3 linked regions of the Ovis aries genome follow. The protein of the gene in region 3 interacts with the protein of the main gene of each other region in a pairwise test. Links are inferred from orthologs where the notes say so. Each region holds a gene or a part of one and is shown on either strand. Other genes may lie near its edges.

Region 1 (4,253 bases), on a different chromosome or scaffold from region 3:
ACAGCAGCACAATTATACTTGGACAAACAGCAACAAAAAACTGAAGCAGCAACTCTGTAAGCTTTCTGAAAATCTACCTCCAGAAGTATATGTTTATAATTCATATAAATAAACTGGAAAATAGCAACATAGCTAATTATCTATACAAACACAAATAGTAACATAGCTAATTATCTATACAAACACAATACTGGCTCTAAGATAATGAATGCGTAAAATGCCTAAAGAGCAACACAAATCTAGTAGAACATAAATATTTCAGTGGAGCTGTAGAAAGTCACTGCATATCTTCAATAAACCCAGAAATATAAAACACACACACACACAAACCCCAAACCTTCAGGTTTCAATAATTCTGGAACTAATTGTGAATACCAGTTGGTTAAGTTCCTGCAGCACCAACATTACAAAAAACTAAAGTCAATAGCTATTTTATGGAAAATTTTGGCTGAAAACATTACACAGCTGCATTTTCACTTCCATCCTTTAACTTATAAGTACAAAATAAGCAGTACTATTCAGTAATAGCAATCCACAGGTGTTGTCAATTTTGAGGGCACTGAATTTCTCATTGAAGCTTGGTATCTCTTGCACCTTTTAAGAATTTATCATGTAGCATATTTACACATATAATTAAGTGCCTTGAACTAAAACCATTTTCTGCCACAATTTCAAAAAGCTTGGGAACTACATTTTTAAAATGAAAATTCAAGATGTAGAAAACTTCCTCACTCAAAGGTACCCATTGATTAATAATGGATTCCATTTACTGACCACCAATTAAATACTATTTAATCTTCACATCTTTGTAAAACAGGTACATAGCAAATTAAGTTAGAGCCGAAAATGGGAGCTCAGGTTTATTTAATTAACCAACACCAAGTAGTCCTGTATGGATGTGAGAGTTGGACTATAAAGAAAGCTGAGCCCAGAAGAATTGATGCTTTTGAAGTGTGGTGTTGGAGAAGATTCTTTAGAGTCCCTTGGACTGCAAGGAGATCCAACCAGTCCATCCTAAAGGAAATCAGTCCTGAATATCAGTGGATGGACTGATGCTGAAGCTCAAACTCCAATGCTTGGCCACCTGAAGTGAAGAAATGACTCACTGGAAAAGACCCTGATGCTGGGAAAGATTGAAGGCAGGAGGAGAAGGGGAAAACAGAGGATGAGATGGTTGGATGGCATCACCGACTCAACGGACATGAGTTTAAATAAGTAAGCTCTGGACAGGGAGGCCTGGCATGCTGCGGTCCACAGGGTCGCAAAGAGTAGGAAACGACTAAGCGACTGAACTGAAGATCCCCGACATCCACCAAAACTGAATCAATTATTTTGAAAAATACAGACGGGCAGAAAGTTGCTACTGTAAATACAGCACTGTGACAACCTCAAAGGTGTACAGACTCACACTTCCAGAACACAAGAAGTAAGTTTACACTGAATGGCAATTTTTAGATCTTGGCATAAAGTTGTACTGATTTCAACACAGTGGCTTTTTGCAGTCACAAATACAGAGGATGACATGAGAATTTAACAGGTGAAGTTAAGAGTCGTTCAAGAGTTTACAGAAGAGAGTCAGAGTTTTTATTTTCTTTATTTCTCCTCTGAAAGGCTATTATTTGGGGGTTGGGTGCAGACTTCCGATCCTACAATTTCAAGGCTTCTAACACAGGGAACTTGCTAATCTGGAGTTAAGTTTGCGCCTGGATTTATTGGAAGGGCTCTAATGCAACAACCTTCACCACCAAAAAGGCCTCGAAGTGCAATCTACGTATGGGTGTGGGCTGGGTGGCGGGAGAACTGCTGCGAAACGATTCAAGATTTATGCAAATAAAATGGTCACCAATTCTGCGGGGAAGAGGGCAAAAAAGGCATTTTCACCACCCCTCGCACTCACACTCTGCGGCTGACGGAACCTGATACCATTTTATTTAAGGCTCATTATCTCCAGTTACCACCTCCAAGACCTCAGCGCCTAACCAGGTCCACGCAGGGATAGTGGCGACGCCTACCTCTCCCTCCCTAACCTGTGCACCCACACCCCGGAGCGCAGCTCGACCGCCCAGGCCACCCTGACCTCCCCTCCCCCTCTGGCCCCTCCACCGAGAGCGCCCAGGCCGAGGCCTCCGGTGCCCCGCTAACGCGTGCTTCACGCCATATGCCACTCGGGCTTCGGTGTCCGACCACTGCTTCCCCGCACTCCTGCCACAAAGCCCACAGCCCACCCTGAAGGTCCAGTGGGCCGCACGCTGCCGGGTCCCTGGCCCTACCCGCGCCTGGAACCCGCAGGCCTCATAAGCGCCCGGGTCCCTAGACCCCCCGCTCGCCATGCCCTCTCGGGTGCACCGCGGCTCTACCCGCTCAGGCTGCGCTCGAAGCTGAGGTCGGGGCCCCGCACGCGGTCCCGCCGCGCCACCCCCAGCCCAGGCCCTCCCGGCCCCTCGCGCGGACCGCCCCCGCTCCGTGCCGGGCCCAGCGCGCCCCGCCGCACTCACCGTCTCGTCGGGGTCGATGTCGATCTTGAAGGTCTGCTGCTGGAGGGTCTTCAGGGTGACCAGCATGGTGCCGTCGCGCAGCTCGGCTGCCGGGCCTGCTCCGGGTGCTGGCCGCTGGGCGGGGTCTGTGGCCTGGCGGGGCCCCGGGGTCGCCCGCGCTCCTCGCGCACTCGGGAGGAAGGCGGTGGGGGTGGGGGCTTGTCACATTCGCCCTGCAGAGCGGCCTCTCCCCCAGCCCTGGCTCCCGGCCGCGCCGCTGCCTCCGCGACTGCGGCCTTCCTCGCGAGCTCGGGCCGCCGTGCTTCCTCACGCGCCCGGTTACCAGCCACTGGGTCTGTAAGAAGCGCGAGGGGCTCTGCGAGAGCAGCAGAGAATCCGCTAGCTCACCACAGGCTGGTGGCCGCCATCATCGTGACTCGCCGAGACGCGCCCTCCCCCCACCACCCTAAAAACCTGGGGGGGATGGGGCCGGGACGGCGGAGCGCGCAGGCGTAGGGTGCGGCGAGGCTGTGCGCAGGCGCAGGCAAGAACTCCGCCCCGGAATTGGGGCGGGGCGGATTGCCGCTCTGGAATGTCGGCCGCCGGGATGGCGCGTGCGCAGGCGCAGTCAGTGGGCGTCTCGTGGGGGCGCTCCGGGCTTCCTCGTCGCGTCTGTTTCTGGGGCCTTCTCCCGCCCGCTGTCGCTCCGCCTACGTGCAGACTCCGCCCGGTTGCCTGAGTTGCGCAATCCGTAGCCGGGGAAGCGCTACGTGGAGACAGGACAGAGTGGCTGGCGAGCCTTGGAACTGGGGAACTAGAGGGCGGTAGGTCGGGGCGAGGTTTAAGTGAAAGGGTTGCGGGCAACCAGCGTAGAGGGCCAGCGCTTGCAGGGCGCTTGCTGTGTGGCTGAAGCCTTGTGCTGGGATTCATTTACCCTGAGAACACTGACTTAAGCGCTAGACGATGTTAGTGGACCTTGCGCCTAAATATAAGATCAAGTTATATCACTTCCCCAGGCAGATCTGTCCAATGGCACCTCATCTCATGAGTAAAAGTCAAAGTTCCTAGAGCTGGGTACACAGCCCCTACCTCTTACATCTTATTCTCTCGGCTTGCACTAGACGTTGTTGGTGGATGTTCAGCAAATGCTCTCAACCTGAGAGTCTACCTTCACCCTTGCTGTTTCCGCTTCGAGTCCACTTTTCCTCTATACCTGGGTGGCTCGACTTCTCACTTCCTTCCAATCTTTGCTCGGATGTCGCCTTCTCAGGGAGATCGACTCTGGATACCCGACTTAAAACAGCAACTTCCCTAGTTCCCTTACCCTGCTGTGTTTTCTATAGCACTTCAGTTCAGTCGCTCAGTCGTGTCCGACTCTCTGCGACCCCATGGACTGCAGCACGCCAGGCTTCCCTGTCCATCACCAACTCCCGGAGCTTACTCAAACTCAAGTCTATCGGGTCGGTGATGCCATCCAACCATCTCATCCTCTGTCGTCCCATTAATACATATTTATTGGGTTTATCATCTTTCTCCCTTCAGTAAATCACAGGCAAGCTGCACAGAGATTTTGTGTTGGGTGATGCACCCCTAGCACGAAGAAACATGCCTGGCGTGTAATGCAGGCACAGTAAATATTTTTGGAATCCATGAATGTGCGCTCGGTTTCTCATCAGTAAAATGGGAATAGTAATAGCACTCAATTTCATTGATTATTGGAGGGGAGTGTTGAATAATGTATGTAAAACCTTTGTACCAGGAACGCACAGAGTTAGCAGC
Region 2 (3,639 bases), on a different chromosome or scaffold from region 3:
GAAAATTTTCAAAAATACAGCCAAGTTGAGAGAGTTTTACAGAGTATAACTATATACTTGCTATATAAATTCTACCACTAGCTTTTTACCATATTGTTTCCTTACATATCCATCAATTTTTCCCTCTTATCAGTATCTTATATTTTTTGACACACTTCAAAGTAATTTGCAAGTTACTATATACATCTCCCTAAATTCTGTTAATAGGCATCAACTAGAGGTCAATATTTGTTCACCGTTTTTCTCTGGATGTGAATTTACGTGCAATGAAATGTACAGCTCTTAAATGTACATTTACTGAATTTTGCCTAATGCAAACACCTGTGTAACCAAACCTCTTGAAGATAGAGAGCATAACCACATGGCAGAGACAGTGTCCCATCCAAGGCAGTCTCCTTGCCTAGAGGCAACAGCCGTTTGGATTTTTTCTACAGTAGATTAATTTACCACTTTGGACCTTCATGTCCATGAGATTGTACAATATTCATTGACTCTTTTGTGTCAAACGTTTTTTCACTCAGGTTAATGTTTAGGTGATTCAGCAGTAACAATAATTCTTTTTATTGCTGAGAAGTATTCCATTGTGTGAATATACTGTAGTGTCTTTGTCTTTGTACAGATTGTATGTTAAATGATAAACAAGATAGAAGATTAAGCCAATAGAATAAGTATTTTAATGCTAATTTAGTGTCTGACTTTGTTATCTGTTATCTCGGGGTTAGTCTCCACATTTCTGCACCTTAGTGATCCTTAAAAATATATGCATTAGACTTCCTAGGCAATGTCTGTAAATGTGATGAATCTATGAATGCTTCAATGCTAAACACAACTATTATTCAACATCTTAAACTTTTAATCCAAAATTGGGTCTCCTGATGTCAGCCGTCATGAATTGGTGAATTTGTACTCTAAATTTGAGAGAAAATACTTTCTTTGTCACTGGATAATAGTCTTTATAAGAGAATACTTGGGCATTTTTAAGTTAGTAACAAGTGTTGAACCTGAACCCATAATTAGAGCATTTAAAATTTTGTACCACAGGCTAATTTCCGTTTTTTCTGATTGTTAAGGTTAATGCTCTGGATAATCTCGGTCAGACTTCTCTGCACAGAGCTGCACATTGTGGTCATCTGCAGACTTGCCGCTTACTCCTGAGCTATGGGTGTGATCCTAACATCATATCCCTTCAGGGCTTTACTGCCTTACAGATGGGAAATGAAAATGTGCAGCAACTTCTTCAAGGTATTGAATACTTCAGTGAAATTATTTTTTCAGTTAACTTTTAAATTTTTTCATATATCATGTAGGAGTTGGTAGTAAAAAGAAAAATTTTCAAAATTATTGGCTGCTATTTCTTCTTGATCAGCTCGTTGTAGTCAGTGCCTCCATGTTGTTAAGTCTTTTTCCCAGTAGTGTTTGCTACTGATCTTTGCTGAGTAAATAGCTGGCTCTTAAGTTTTTATCTAGAAAGGTTTTAAGAGTGAGATGCAATAGTTGCTATTTCTTTTTAAAGAGAGGGAAACTGAAGAGGGTAGCTATCTCCTAGTAGAGCAACCAGAGCTATAAATAATACGCTTAGAGGCCAGTCCTGCCTGTTCACTCCTCTAGATCCTTTACATAAGGCATATAGAATCTGTACACAGTAACCAACTATTTGACTTATGTTTGAATACACTGATATTCATTTTAAATTCAAATCAACTTATATTCAATATCTACACATTTGGCATAGGTTAAACATTTCAGCCTAGAATTCTGGTCCCTTCCAATTAAAGATAAATAAAAGAAATATGGTCCCATAATTTCAAAGTGTCTTTGCCTACATCTCTGTATTTTACTAGACATTAATAAAACCTCTTTGACACCTCAGAGCTCAAATGAGAAGAAATGTAACAGACCAAGTGTTTTGTACCTTTAATAGTCCCCCTTGATGATCCTTATGCCTGTGGTTTAGAAGCCCCATTTTGAGAAAACACTGCTTGAATAGATAAAGGCAGATTAATAAGATCTCCTGGGAACTTCTAAAATTCTGAACTACAAGACTGCTCTCAGAATTGCCTTTACTTTCCCATCTACCATGCGTGTGTTTCAGTGTCAGAGTTGAGGGTAATAGCATTAGTTCTGTTCAGTTACCTGGTGATGGACATTTACAGTCTTGCTTTTATGCTACATGCTATACATTACCTTTCCAGTGAGTTTCTTAAAGTGGAATTTCTGAGTCAAGGTTAACATAATTGTTAAATCATCTCCTAGAAAGGCTGTTATGTACCATTTTACATTCCTATTAATAGTTTATGACAGGACCTGTTTTCCTTGTCAGCCCCAGATATTATGATTCTTTATAATTTCCTTGGGTGAGTGTGTGTGAGTGATTGTGTGTATGTTTGTATTACAGAAGTAATAGGTGCTTTTTTAAAATGCAAATTATAGAAGTATTGACAGTGTAACTCTTTCATTTGCTCTTTGTCCACTAATGGATGAAAGAAAAGCCTAGTATATCATTTTAATTTGCATTTCCAACGTGTATGCTGCAATATTTTTTCCAATTTTGTTTTTTGCCTATAATTTTGTTTAGTTTTATTTTGTTGTCTGACAGATATTTTTCCAAATCAGTTTTGGTTCTGCCTTTGATGTACTTGCTTTAGGATGCTTTTCTATTTCAAGATAAATATTCACCTATTTTTTAAAATATTTTTAAGTTTTAATTTTTCATATGTAGCATCTTTAACCCATCTGAAGTTTATTTGTTCTAAGATACAAGGTATATGTTTTCTTCCTTTCTTTTGAGATTTAAAATGAGCTATAAAACAGAGTTTCAGACCTGAAAATAACTTCACTTGTTTCTAATCCAATGTCTTTTGTCTTTTTAGAACTGGAACAATCTGAGGCCCAGAAAGTTCAAATGACTTGTTCCAATTCAGATAGCTAGTCAATGGCAGAACCATGGGGAGATGTCTAGCTGTTGCTCTCCTTATTTAATACTTTACCACCAGTCACTGACTTCGTTATAGAGTAATCTTCTGTTACCTATTTTATATTCCATTATGTTGCCTAAATCTCATTTTATAGTTATTATTCATATACATTTCACATATGTGATGTTTCCAAAAAAATTTATACTGCTTTTCCCGTACTACTATGGAGATTTCCTACATAATTGCCATCAAACTGTGAAAGGAACTTTACTCTGAAATAAGATGCCTCCCTTAAAACTTGGTCCCATCTTCCAAATAGAAGTTAATCACTCTTTCCTTCTCTTTTTTTTTAATTTTAGAGGGTATCCCATTAGGTAATTCAGAAGCAGACAGACAGTTGCTGGAAGCTGCAAAGGCTGGAGATGTAGAAACTGTAAAAGTAAGACATGATCTTATGGTTTTTCTAAACATTGGGTTTTTATTTTGACAGTGTTTAATGAATCCATACTGTTAAAATGAAAAAATCTAGTTATTTGTTCTGTTAAAATAAAAAAATCTAGTTATTTATATGTGCATTGTTTTAAAAGGTAAATAATGGTAATTCTGCTCTGCAAATAAGGATCATTGAGTAATGAAAGAAACTTTAGTATCACACCCATCTCAGTAAATATATCACAGTTATAAATGTAGATAATGACGTGTTTATGGAAATGCATTTTGTTTA
Region 3 (4,315 bases):
GGAAGAAAAAAAAAACAATCTCACAAAATAAGAAACTGTTCCAATGAACAGACATAAAGCTGATATTACACGTGAGCATACAACAAGTTTTTACAGAAGAGCAGAAAATAGGCTGAAATTTTGGTTATGCAGTATGCACTAGACACTTCTCATTTTACTAATAATTCATAGTTTCCATTTTAAAAACAAAGAGTTTCACTTTTGATTCTTCTAAAGTAGTTCACTTCCTAGTTACTAGCTTGAAGTCTACTTCCTAGTTACTACCTTGGTGGATTTTAATGTCAGTTCATTTGAAGTAGATGGTTTAAAGTATTTGAACCTGTATGAATATTTGAAAATAGTACTAACATGAGTAACAAAGAACAGCATATTCATATGGCAAGCAAACACATTAAATGTTTCTTTAATACATAAACACCATAATAGAAGTATAAAAATAAATGCGACTGTATTGCTCTAAAAAATGTCCACAATCTCAACGAGATGATATGACACATAGTAAAAACAGTGTCAAAATGGTAGTATTTTAGACTAACAACTACTCCCTTTGCATAAGGAGGGGACTCATTAAACTAAGAAACTGGACTTGATGGCTAAGATCACTTTTAGTAATTTATTCTTGATTCAAATTTATGCATAAACCTCTGAAATGGGCAGATCTGCATTATCTAAGTACATTAGTCAAAAATCAATTTTAAAAACTCACAAATTTTTTTGCCATTGTTCAAATCTGACATGTGAAAACCATGAGCTACATTTCCCACTTTGAAAAAAAAAAATAGGCTTTAACACTTAACATTGAAGAGAACTATAAACCGGAAGGACACCAAGCCTACTAAATATTGCTCAGTATACTATGGCCACAAGATCCTCCTCTAAGTATTAACACTTTGTCACATACTCAACATCAAAAACTAAAGTTCAAAGTATTCAAAACAGAATGAAGGGGATTAGGAGATAAACTGTTCTAAGCTCCCATTATTAAAACTAGAATTATTTCACTGCAAATAAACCGCAGTCTGCAACATCTTCTCAATCAACCCAGTCACTCTTTAGTTGCTAAGTGGCGTCCTACTCTTTGCCACCCCATGGCCCCATGCCACACCAGAAACCCCCTCAGGCCCCTCTGTCCATGCGAGTTCCCAGGCAAAGATACTGGAGTGGGTTGCCATTTCCTTCTCCAAAGGATCTTCCCAACCCAGGGATCGAACCAGAGTCTTCTGCATTGCAGACAGATTCTTTATCACCGAGCCACCTGGGATGCCCAAATTAACCAATAACAATTAACTAACACACAAGAGTTCCAAGAAAACTTCCCCAAAGTGCCTAAAATAACAATGCAGTATGCTCGCTTTCCAAAATTCTTGAGCATCTTCAATTACTTCAAGTACTACCATAAAATTCTAAAAATATCTCAAAGCAAAAACTTAGCACGCTGTGAGTATACATAGTCCATTTTACGACAGTAGGCCTTATTTTAAAATCAAGCACAGGTAGGATACAATGATGCCAAGAAAACTACTGATTATCAACACCACAGGGTGGGGCATTCACACTACTCTCCCAGAAAAATCGAATAGTTCTACCAGCTTTTCACAGTAAACCGTGGTCACCACCATAATTTCAAGACGAGTAAAGTAATGGTTTTCCTTTTGCCCAAAATGTTTTTCACACCAATAACCCCCTCCCCAAAAATTAAGCCATAGCCAACGACTCTCCAGGATATGGTGCAACCCGTGAGAGTGCACTTCAGATTCCGAAAGCAAAATCGAAGGGGGAAAAGTAGCATCTCTCACTTAACTATACTTAACGGAAAAGATTTGAAGCTTCACAAACCCAGATTTTTTTTTTTAAGGGAACAACCTCTTTAATGTGTGACCCAGGCAAGAGTAAAGGGTGAGGATGGAACAAGGTCAAACTTAGGGGACAAAATATACCTGAAATAAGCATGGCCGAAAAGGTCTCTTCTTAAGGGACAGTTTCTATATTTTTAAAAAAAAGGAAAAAAAAAAAACAAAAAGAAAAAGGAACCAACCAAATCCTCTACTTTTACATTGAGTCCACCTGGTTCCTGTACCTGGCAATTCAATTGCGGTGGAGACTCTTTTGCAAAATAGCAGATCTGGAAGGCTCCTGTCTTGGAAAGAAAACTGGGTTCACAAGGGATGACAACCGGCTATTTCTTTTTCTTAAAAAAAAAAAAAAAAAAAGACGAGGAAGATAAAGTTTAATTAGGAAGTCATACAGAGGAGTGTAGGAATGTAAGGTCGCGCTCAACAAACACCCATCACCGTCGGTTACAGGAAAACAATTGGCAAGAAGGAAGTGGACTGAAACCCGCTAACTACACCCCGCTTTCCACACGCAGCCCGGAACTGGGAGCGACGCCCCCAAAGCGGGCAGGGGCGGGAGACGGCGGCGCGGGGAAAGCTGGGGCCGCGGAGGCCCGGGCGGCGGGGAGGTCCCGGCCGCGGCGGGGGAGGGCGGCACCTCGGGCGGAGGAGCGGGGCCGGGTCTCCTCACCTTCTGCGCCGCGCTCTGCTGCAGCACGTTCTGCTCCACGGTCATGGCCCCCGCCGCGCCGGCGTCCGGCTCCCCGAGCCTCCGCTGGCCCTGACTGCCACGCTCCGCCGAGCCCCAGGGAGCGGCGCGGACGGCCGGCGAGGACAGCGCCCCCGCCAGCCAGGCGCGAAGGCGACGACGGCCGGCGTGCGCGGGCACCACGGGCTGGCGGCGCGGCGCGGACACCGAGGGCCACGGCGGCGGCCCCACGACTCCGCGCGGCCCGCCTCAGCGCGGCTCGGCGGCCGCGGCCCGGGCCATGAGCGGGCGGTGGACGCTGGGGGGCGGGAGGGCGCTAGCAAGCCCGGACGCGTCACGCGCGCGCGCGCGCTCCTCCGCTGGCGGCTCGCGGGCCACTGCGGGGAAGGGAAAGGGGACAGAGGGAGCGGCCGGCCAGAATGGCGCTGTCCTCCTCCCACCGCAACTCCTCCTCCCCTCCCCTCCCCTCCCCTCCCTCCTCTCCTGTCCCCTCCCCTCCCCTCCCTCTACCGCCCCCTCCCCTCCCCTCCCCTCCCTTCCCTCTACCGCCGTCACCGCCCCCGCCTGGCGGCTCCTCCCCCGCCGAGCCCCGCCCACAGGCCGCCCTAACCCTACATTGTGACCCGCGGGTCGGTGTGACGGGAGGCGGGGCCGCTCCGGAGCCCCGCCCCCCGTCCTGGAGTCCCGCGGGGTGGGGCGAACGAGCGCCACGCGGGCCCGGCCTCGGAGCCGCCCCTGCGGCAGGTTGCGCGACGCCTACCCGCGGCTCCGCGACGCTTCAAGCCAAGGCCGGAGGGCATCGTGCCTCTTCATGCCCAGAATTTGTCAGATTTCCATATCCCTCTAAGAGAAACATTTTCCTCTAGGTCCCTGAACGTTCCCAAACCGCTTTGGATCCCGAATCCTTGGTCTTTCTGAGTCCTCTCCCCAGCCCTTTCTAGGAATTTCACAAGCAGTAAACTTGCCCGAAGAGAAAAGTCAATTGTGATTTAAGCAAAAGGCTGTCAGAAGGCCTTTCGCTGGAATGTACTTTTCTCTGCAACTAATCATTACATAAGTTAATATTGATAGTCTCTGTCAACTTCGTCTTTTCAAACATGTGCCAGTCACTGGCAGGCTCTTAGGAAATAAAAGTTTATTTTCCTAAGGTTTGACGTAAATGAAATACGGTCTATTCAACAGACAGTGTTACAAAAATATCACTGCCTAGATGGTACAGGATACCCCAGTTGCAAAACAATTATCAATTAACCACCCTTCTTGAAATACTTGATTATATATGGAATAGTAAGGAAAACCTAATTTTGAGAAAGCAGTCTATAACCTCAAAAATATCTTGAATTTCACAAGCTAATCTGGGGGTGGGACACAAATAGGATGTGAAGATGCAGTGTGCTGCGAGAGAAGGAATAATCCGTGGTTCAGTTCAGTTTAATTCAGTCATTCTGTCGTGTCCGACTCTGTAACCCCACGAACTGCAGCACATCAGGCTTCCCTGTCCATCACCAACTCCTAAAGTTACTCAAACTCATGTCCATTGATCGGTGATGTCATCCAACCATCTCATCCTCTGTCCTCCCCTTCTCCTGCCTTCAATCTTTCCCAACATCAGGGTCTTTTCAAAGGAGTCAGCTGTTTGCATCAGCTGGCCAAAGTTTTGGAGTTTCAGCTTAACATCAGTCCTTCCAGTGAACACCCAGGGCTGATCTCCTTTAGGATGGACTGGTTGGATCTCCTTGCAGTCCAAGGGACTCTCAGGAGTCTTCTCCAATAC

The links.
Region 1: the proteins of USP25 (region 3) and RAD23B interact in binary tests that used the Homo sapiens proteins (3 or more experiments, as listed by UniProt). The link is inferred for Ovis aries from reciprocal best matches to the Homo sapiens genes USP25 and RAD23B.
Region 2: the proteins of USP25 (region 3) and TNKS2 interact in a two-hybrid assay, tested with the Homo sapiens proteins (2 studies listed by BioGRID and IntAct). The link is inferred for Ovis aries from reciprocal best matches to the Homo sapiens genes USP25 and TNKS2.

Annotation. Positions count from the first base shown.
Region 1 is NC_056055.1:15,850,761-15,855,013, forward strand, and holds the start of RAD23B (UV excision repair protein RAD23 homolog B), read right to left. Parts: upstream 2,917-4,253; 5' UTR 2,888-2,916; coding exon of another isoform or gene 2,714-2,887; 5' UTR 2,614-2,713; coding exon of another isoform or gene 2,562-2,613; coding exon 2,496-2,561; intron 1-2,495. Other genes in the region: uncharacterized protein LOC121818810, read left to right, coding at 2,560-2,613, 2,714-2,887, 2,991-3,298. UniProt on the Homo sapiens protein: Multiubiquitin chain receptor involved in modulation of proteasomal degradation. Binds to polyubiquitin chains.
Region 2 is NC_056075.1:13,175,658-13,179,296, forward strand, and holds part of TNKS2 (poly [ADP-ribose] polymerase tankyrase-2), read left to right. Parts: intron 1-1,070; coding exon 1,071-1,242; intron 1,243-3,274; coding exon 3,275-3,354; intron 3,355-3,639. UniProt on the Homo sapiens protein: Poly-ADP-ribosyltransferase involved in various processes such as Wnt signaling pathway, telomere length and vesicle trafficking.
Region 3 is NC_056054.1:142,138,241-142,142,555, forward strand, and holds the start of USP25 (ubiquitin carboxyl-terminal hydrolase 25), read right to left. Parts: upstream 2,921-4,315; 5' UTR 2,569-2,920; coding exon 2,524-2,568; intron 2,317-2,523; exon of another isoform or gene 2,078-2,316; intron 1-2,077. UniProt on the Homo sapiens protein: Deubiquitinating enzyme that hydrolyzes ubiquitin moieties conjugated to substrates and thus, functions in various biological processes including inflammation and immune response.